Linked DNA regions of Saccharomyces cerevisiae S288C. The protein of the gene in region 1 purifies or fractionates together with the protein of each later gene. This does not show direct contact. Each region holds a gene or a part of one and is shown on either strand. Other genes may lie near its edges.

What was found.
Region 2: the proteins of SRM1 (region 1) and GSP2 purify together in Saccharomyces cerevisiae (affinity purification with mass spectrometry; 2 studies listed by BioGRID). This does not show direct contact.

What each region holds. Positions count from the first base shown.
Region 1 is NC_001139.9:319,958-323,933, reverse strand, and holds SRM1 (Ran guanyl-nucleotide exchange factor), read right to left. Parts: upstream 2,153-3,976; coding exon 704-2,152; downstream 1-703. UniProt on the Saccharomyces cerevisiae protein: Guanine nucleotide exchange factor that promotes the exchange of GSP1/GSP2-bound GDP by GTP and controls RNA metabolism and transport. Involved in yeast pheromone response pathway and in mRNA metabolism.
Region 2 is NC_001147.6:680,720-684,155, forward strand, and holds GSP2 (Ran GTPase GSP2), read right to left. Parts: upstream 1,388-3,436; coding exon 725-1,387; downstream 1-724. Other genes in the region: YOR186W (uncharacterized protein), read left to right, coding at 2,392-2,826; TUF1 (translation elongation factor Tu), read left to right, coding at 3,311-3,436. UniProt on the Saccharomyces cerevisiae protein: GTP-binding protein involved in nucleocytoplasmic transport. Required for the import of protein into the nucleus and also for RNA export. Not essential for cell viability.

The DNA.
Region 1 (3,976 bases):
AATGCAAAGACATTAAAATTGTACATGCTTTTCAGCGGTGCCTTATATGTCAGACCATCAATATAGTTCTTTTAGGGGAGAGTCAGCGGTAATTTATGTGCATATCTGGTTTACCTACCGTGCTTGCTTATCTTCCTCACAAGACTTTCTGTTGTTTTTATGGTCTGTATGAGCAATCTCCGGTATGCATTTTCCATAATGCTGTTGAAGAAAGTTAAAATACGATAGGTAATTTGTCGCGGTTAGAGAGAGCAATGAATTTTTCCGTGCTAACATGTTCACCGGAAGTTTATCCTTTGCTTTGCCTGTTGCTGGTGTCTTGGCACATTTTTAATTTTTCTCCGTTTTTCTCAAAAAATCCGATTAAATTCCTTAGAAAGTTCATTACTAGAGAAACGTGCAGAAGAGGAAGAACCTGAAGGGCTGGACGAGCGGATGGATTACATAATACTTACTCAGTGTTGATTTCATCCGCCTGCTAGTTGTCGTCTGGTAACTCCTCGCACTTATGCCCCTGTACTCAATGTAAAGGCCCAAGAAAAATTAAAAAAAAAAAAAAAAAAAAAAAAAAATAAACATGAGAATTTGTCGGTATCGGATAATCATATCGTTTTCTCGTTTTTCTTTGATTTATGTTATATTTTACAATTTATACTGAGGTGCATTATGTCGATTTTCTTTTATTTATCTTTGTACTACTACCTTAATCATCCATTTCATCCGCTCTCTTTTCTGCGTCCTCATCAGACAGCTTAACACCACCAGACACGGAAAATTGGCCTCCACACCCGACTAAAATGATGTTATGATCCTGTGTAGCAGTATTCTTGATTCTGGTTGGAACTTCAGTGTCGTCCTCAAAAGGGCCTAATCCAACGGCGTAGGTTTCACCAAAACCCCAAGAATAGGCAATGCCATTTTGAGCTACCGCGACTGAATGGTGAGACCCCGCCGCAACGCTTTTGAACTTCGGAACATTATTCAACTTAGTTGGAAGTGGCACGGCACGTGCTTTTCCATGAACATCTTTGTAAGTATATTCGGGTAAATTGTCTTTTGGGATACCAACTTCAAACATGTCTAGTCTACCACACGAATACAAATCGCCATCTTGGGATAGGATCAATGAGTGATGTTCACCAGCAGCAATGCTTCTGATAACAACGTTATCAGGTAGCGCTAGTCTTTTTGGCTTTGTAACAAGCGCACCGTCTTCCACATCCTCTGAAACACCACATTGACCAAACTGATTCAACCCCCAGCTTACTAACTTGTTGTCTTTTGTTAAAGCAAAGCAATGGTTTTCGCCAGATGCGATGTATTTTACATGTCTTAACCCAAATGGTCTGGGATCCAAAGTCTTTAAACGGAACCTTTCCATAACTTTTCTTCCTAATTGGTTTTGCTGACCGTTACCCCAGGCGAACACCATACCCTCTTCATCTAAGAAAAGTATGTGATCCTTACCGGGAGCTAATTGGACAATATTGTACTTAGAGAATGTAGGCACTTTCCATGGAGTTTTTTGAATTTTAATTTTATCTTGGTAAAACCCTAGGATACCTTCATTGCAACGGAAAGTACCCCATGCGTATACCTCGCCATTGCTGAACAGGGCGCAACTCATATTGTCTGTAGCTGCCAATTGCACGACCTTGTGTCCCTCCGCTAAGGGAGGAAATGACTCTCTTGGGATTTTAGCGGGCGTAGATTCCAATTCGTTCAAATCACCATCTTCGTCATCACTTGAGTCATCGGCGTCCATGTCCTTGAGTTGTTCCTTGGCGTTGGAAGTATCTCTGCCCAACGCACCCACGTCATTGCAACCCCAGGACCATACATTGCTTTCTTCATCAAGGGCTAAGGTGTGCATACCACCGACTGCAAAAGAAATGATCTTGGCCTCATCGCGAGGTAAAAATGGGTTTAACCTTGGTCTTTTAACTTCCTTATTTTTGGCTAGTGGACCCAACCCAAGCTCACACATAGAACCAGTACCCCAGCAAAATATATCCAATGGTTGGACACTTAAGTACATATGCTTGTAGTCTTCTTGAGCGTTTATGATATGAGAAGCATGAGTTTTAGACATTTTCTTTGCTCTATGAGCGCCAGACGCGTCTCCATTGGTGGCGACTGTTCTTTTGACCATTTTAAACTTTTATATGACAACTTTTTAAGTTTCTGGATCCAGGATTTGACTTAAAGAGGATGTCTTGATGACTTTTAATATTCTCGAGATCGGTGATTTTATTCATCCTGCCTTGCCTCTCCCGTGCTTTTTTGTTTTTTTGAAATTTTATTTGTGCGGGTAATGAATATTGTTTGTCCTTCGAGAGGTCCTCGCGAAACCCTGCTACTTTTAGCCGCCCAACGATTGAAAAAGAAGGGAATTGCTAGATAGCTATCTCTGTCGGAAGCAAACAATATATATATATATATATATGTAACTCTTGATATCGGTGCTCTCTACTTTAGAGTATGCGGTGTTCCTCTGTCCATTAAAAGCAAGTGTCCTTTTCTTTAGAGTCTCGGATTATACTATCTTGGAAGTGAGTTTTTAAAGAACCAGAATGGCAGGACACTGGAATACAGATTGGCTTTATATCGTTACTGCCGAGGGAAGACTCTCATAATATCTAAATTTTCTGTTCCGATTCTCTTACTTGCAAATATTTTACACTCTGTCAGGAATAATCAGTAATTGCCTCATTGAATTATCTTAGGTAGTTCTCTTTCAACTGCTATTGTATTTCAATCTTGGGGACTACAAAACGTTGTAGCAATTGTTGACGATGGTTCCTACCTGAAATATGGCCTTAAGAATTTACCGCGAGCAACGGGAGGGATAATGTCCAACACGGCTTTTTATTATTATTATTTTCCGAACCTATAAATCCATCAGTATTCCTTTCAAGAGTTTTTCCGTCTCTGGCTGAAGGCTCATTTCCATGATGGGGTCACAATTATTATCGCACACAATTTTGGTGGCGTTGAAATTGATGCCGGAATTTGCCCCAGTGCTATAGGTGTTTTACTTAACACATAATTTCTGAACCCATAATAAATGACACGTAAATTTCCCCTTTTTATTTAGTGGAACTGAACCTGTTTTGCCATTAAGAAGCAAATACCTTCCTGTTGCTTGATTTGCCCTGTTTGTCTTATGTGTTGAAGAGAAATTAGAATATTATGTGGCGTATCAATGCCAAAGTATTATATAATGTGTTGAAACGAGCGGTATTTAATAGTAACATGAGTTACTATGGTAACGATCTAAATGTTTAAATCCTATACGATGAAGTATGGAAGCACTATTACAAAAGGAAATGTAAATGAGCATGTCAGAAAGTACTGAATTTGAGTTAAGAGTCTATTAATTGAATGAGATCTGAAAGTCACATATAAGAGCAATATGAGTCGTCACATTAAATGTATGAAGCTGCCGGAATCACCATTATATTAGCCATATATAATAATGAAACAATCGGCATGTGGTTTATACCTCTGTTATATAAGTACAAAAAGATCCATATTCATTCTTCATTAATACAACCTGTTAACTTTTAACTATCAACATAAAGAGCTTAGCTGTCTTAGTTAGCTTCGCTTTTTATCATAACTACACCTCCTTTAGGTAAAAGAGAAGTACCTCTAACTTACACTATTTCTTTCGTGGAAAGAAGCTGCACTAAAACAGGTTTTAAAACAGACCGATTTATTTACCATAGGATACCTACATATTTTTGTCCCCTCTACATATCGTATCGCCGAGCATTCATAGAAGTTGAACTACATCCTTATTTCAATTATGTGCAGTACGAATGCATTCTTTTTGCCAGGAGACAAACCACAAATTTACATAACTGCAAATCGTACTGTTTTGTGGGCATTTGGGTTCACATCAAGCAAGACGTACTCTCTTATTAGAGGCATAGAACGAACGCTTTTACAATTCATTTTCAATTCCTCTTCT
Region 2 (3,436 bases), on another chromosome or scaffold:
GAGATAAAAATAGCGATATCCTCGTACTCAAAGAAGTCTAATTGTTTTAGCCCGTTGATCAAAAAAATAAAATGTATTTTTATTTTTTTGTCATCCAGCTCAAGATCGTAATATTGGCAATTAACAACCGAGCGAGGCACAGGGCAAAGAGAATGTGGGTGAGACTGAACTATCTCTCCCAATATATTATACTTTTTTTTGTCGCGTCTACCAATTAAATGAAAACATAATTGGGAATACTTTCCTCTTCTTATATTTTATCTTAACTCGTTTCCGATCTTCTGATATTCTATTTGTATATGAATAAGAACATTATTGTAATCGAAAGAAGTATCTCTTTTCAAGAGGATTACTTTTCATTGAAAACTTTTGGACGGGCAAAAAAAAAAAAGCGCCAGCAGGAAGAAAAAAGGAATCTAGTAAAAAATAAAAATTAGGTTTATAAAGTAGTAAGTGAAGTGCAAGAGGGAGCGTTATTGGACGATCATATTGTGATCGGATCCCGTTTATTGGTCTTTGATTCAATTTAAAAGAAAAGAAATGTACAGGTTAAACTTCAACATACCAAAAAAAAATTACAATGTGGCAATTAAACAGAGAAGAACTAATTCTTTAAAAATAGACTTTCAGAACTATATATTAAAAATAAAAGAAATTTCAAAAAAAAATTTTTAGATTGATGTGAGAAGAAGCAGAATATTTTCGTATATAAATTTTCATGTTTTTATAAATCAGCATCGTCTTCATCAGGTAATGGTAAAGCAGTGGCTTGGTCCATTTCTTGCTGGTATTGGTGCATTAGTTGCTCGTCAACTTGCACCTCAGGTGGGGCCAATGCAGGAGACGCAACAAACTCCAATTGTGGGTTACCGGCAAGTTTTCTAGCCAACCACAAGAAAGGCTTTTCAAAATTATAATTGGATTTTGCAGAAATGTCATAATATTGTAAGTTCTTTTTTCTATGGAAAGTGATAGTCTTGGCCTTGACCTTTCTCTCTTTGACATCGACTTTATTGCCACATAGCACTATGGGAATATTTTCACACACACGGACTAAGTCTCTATGCCAATTAGGGACGTTCTTGTAAGTGATTCTGGATGTGACATCGAACATAATAATTGCACATTGAGCATTGATGTAATAACCATCCCTTAACCCGCCAAATTTTTCTTGGCCTGCGGTATCCCAGACATCGAACTTAATTTCACCGAAATTAGTATAAAAAGATAGAGGATGAACTTCTACTCCGATAGTTGCAATGTATTTTTTTTCAAATTCACCGGTCAGATGTCTCTTCACAAAGGTAGTCTTACCAGTACCTCCATCACCAACAAGAACTAACTTGAAAGTGGGAACCTCGGCATTGTTTTGAGCAGGTGCTGACATTACGAACTTATATAGGTAGTCACAGGTTTATATCTTTATTGTGCTTAGCCGAACACTTACTTTCTCTCAAATTCCATCAAGAATTATTGTTTATTCCTCCAGAAGAGATCAAGTACCATTTACACTATTTTTTGTATTTAAGGGGTGGCAGAATTCAGGATGCCACATGCGGCTTTTAATGATAGCAAGCTTATACAGCGGAAGACAAAAAAACGGGTAACTGACATTGTATATATTCACCTTGAAAATAAGTGCTAACGCCATGTAAGGGTATGGCCCGCTTAAAGGGCAAGTTCACTCCGCTCAAGATACAAAACTGAAACGATGAAGAAAAAAAGAGCATCTTGACCTCCCGTGACTCATTAAGACCACTTGAGACCACTTGCTCTATGTGTATCAACCTATAAACTGTATATCTTTTGCATTTTGCACCTCCTTAAGGAAAGAAACTCCCTTCGAAAGTATTATTTCCCTGTGGCCCCTTACTTCTCTAATTGACAAGACAGAATTTTCTCGATAATTCCCTGGATAAAGTGTCAGTTTATAGAGTAGATCTCACTTGCCTTTTGACTGCTTCCGCAAGCAGAGGGATCGTAAGTTGTACACACCATTGCCTTGGCTATTACCACCACAATGTCGTGGCAATAGCGGAACCGTGCGGATGTAGCCATTGCTGCAAGCGAAAGCGCGGAGGTTAGCGGCAATGGCGTTCAAAACGGGATGGCTTCTTCGCCAAGTACACGGAATAATATCCAGATAGAAGTATTTTTGTGCGGTAAAGGGTACCACATCTGCAGCAGCGCAATGAAAATTGCGTATCAACAGCAAAAGAAATACTTAAATAGCATGTTTAGCACTTTTGATATAAAAAGGGGCCGCAAATGTTCTGGCGTATTACTGTTTTTTCTTGTCAAATGTGTCACTAAGCAAGCAACTTGTAATCAAGACCTCAATTCAAGGTTAGTTTACTCCTTCTCTCAAATACTACGTAACAGATCTTATTGATGACTTTGGCTTTTACGACCTTCGCTATTTCCAAGATAAACAATTCGTCCACGAATGAAGATTCTAAAGTCATGATACTGTGCGATGAGCATCACCCTTTCGAGAAGGGTTACTTTAAGTCCGCCATACGAGCCTTCGGCAACAGCATTAAGCTAGGATTAATGGGTAACTCGCGACCAGAAGACGCAGCGTCCATATTCCAAGATAAAAATATTCCTCACGATCTGACGACGGAAGAATTCAGGTTGCAGCTGGTCTGTATGGCTTTTTCCTGGTTCATATTTGGTCTCTTCATCGCCTGCTTACTACTTTGTATCACGCTTGTGCTAACATCGCGATATCCTGGAGAAAATGAAAACAAAGCCACGGAAGTTGTGCCATCCAGTAATATTGACGACGAAGAAAAGCAATTATCGCTTTCCGACATGATTTAGTACTACGTGGAAGAAAGGAAAAGAAGCTGCTTTTCTCATTTAAAACATTTAGTTTATATACTTCGCCTCTGGAGGACTTTTCAATTTATGCAATATGTGAGCACTTCTCTATTCTCGATTAGGTCTCTGATATATACATATACATAAACATAAAGCAGTAAGTTGGGTCTATTATACTGACAACCCTGTTACCCGCATTGAAATTGACAGGCTGCCCATTGATTGGTCAGTTTCCCACTAACCCGCGCTGGAGCTGATTTTTCATATTTTTAAGGATTTTGTTTTAGCACCCATCCGACCTCAGTCAATATATCCTTTCGCGACCAGGCTTTCCTCCCTTTTGCTGCTAACTGGTTACAGATTTTCCTATTTTTGGTCATTTTTATCTTTGAAACTGATTAAGCTGAAAAAATTTGAGCTTCTTTGTTGTAAACTATTTTGTGCTTTCAGTTTTATTCTAGCTCGACAAAGGTAACAGACAAAAATGTCAGCTTTATTACCAAGATTACTCACAAGAACAGCTTTTAAAGCTTCTGGGAAACTTCTGAGGCTCTCTTCAGTAATTTCTAGGACCTTTTCTCAAACTACTACTTCCTATGCAGCTGCTTTT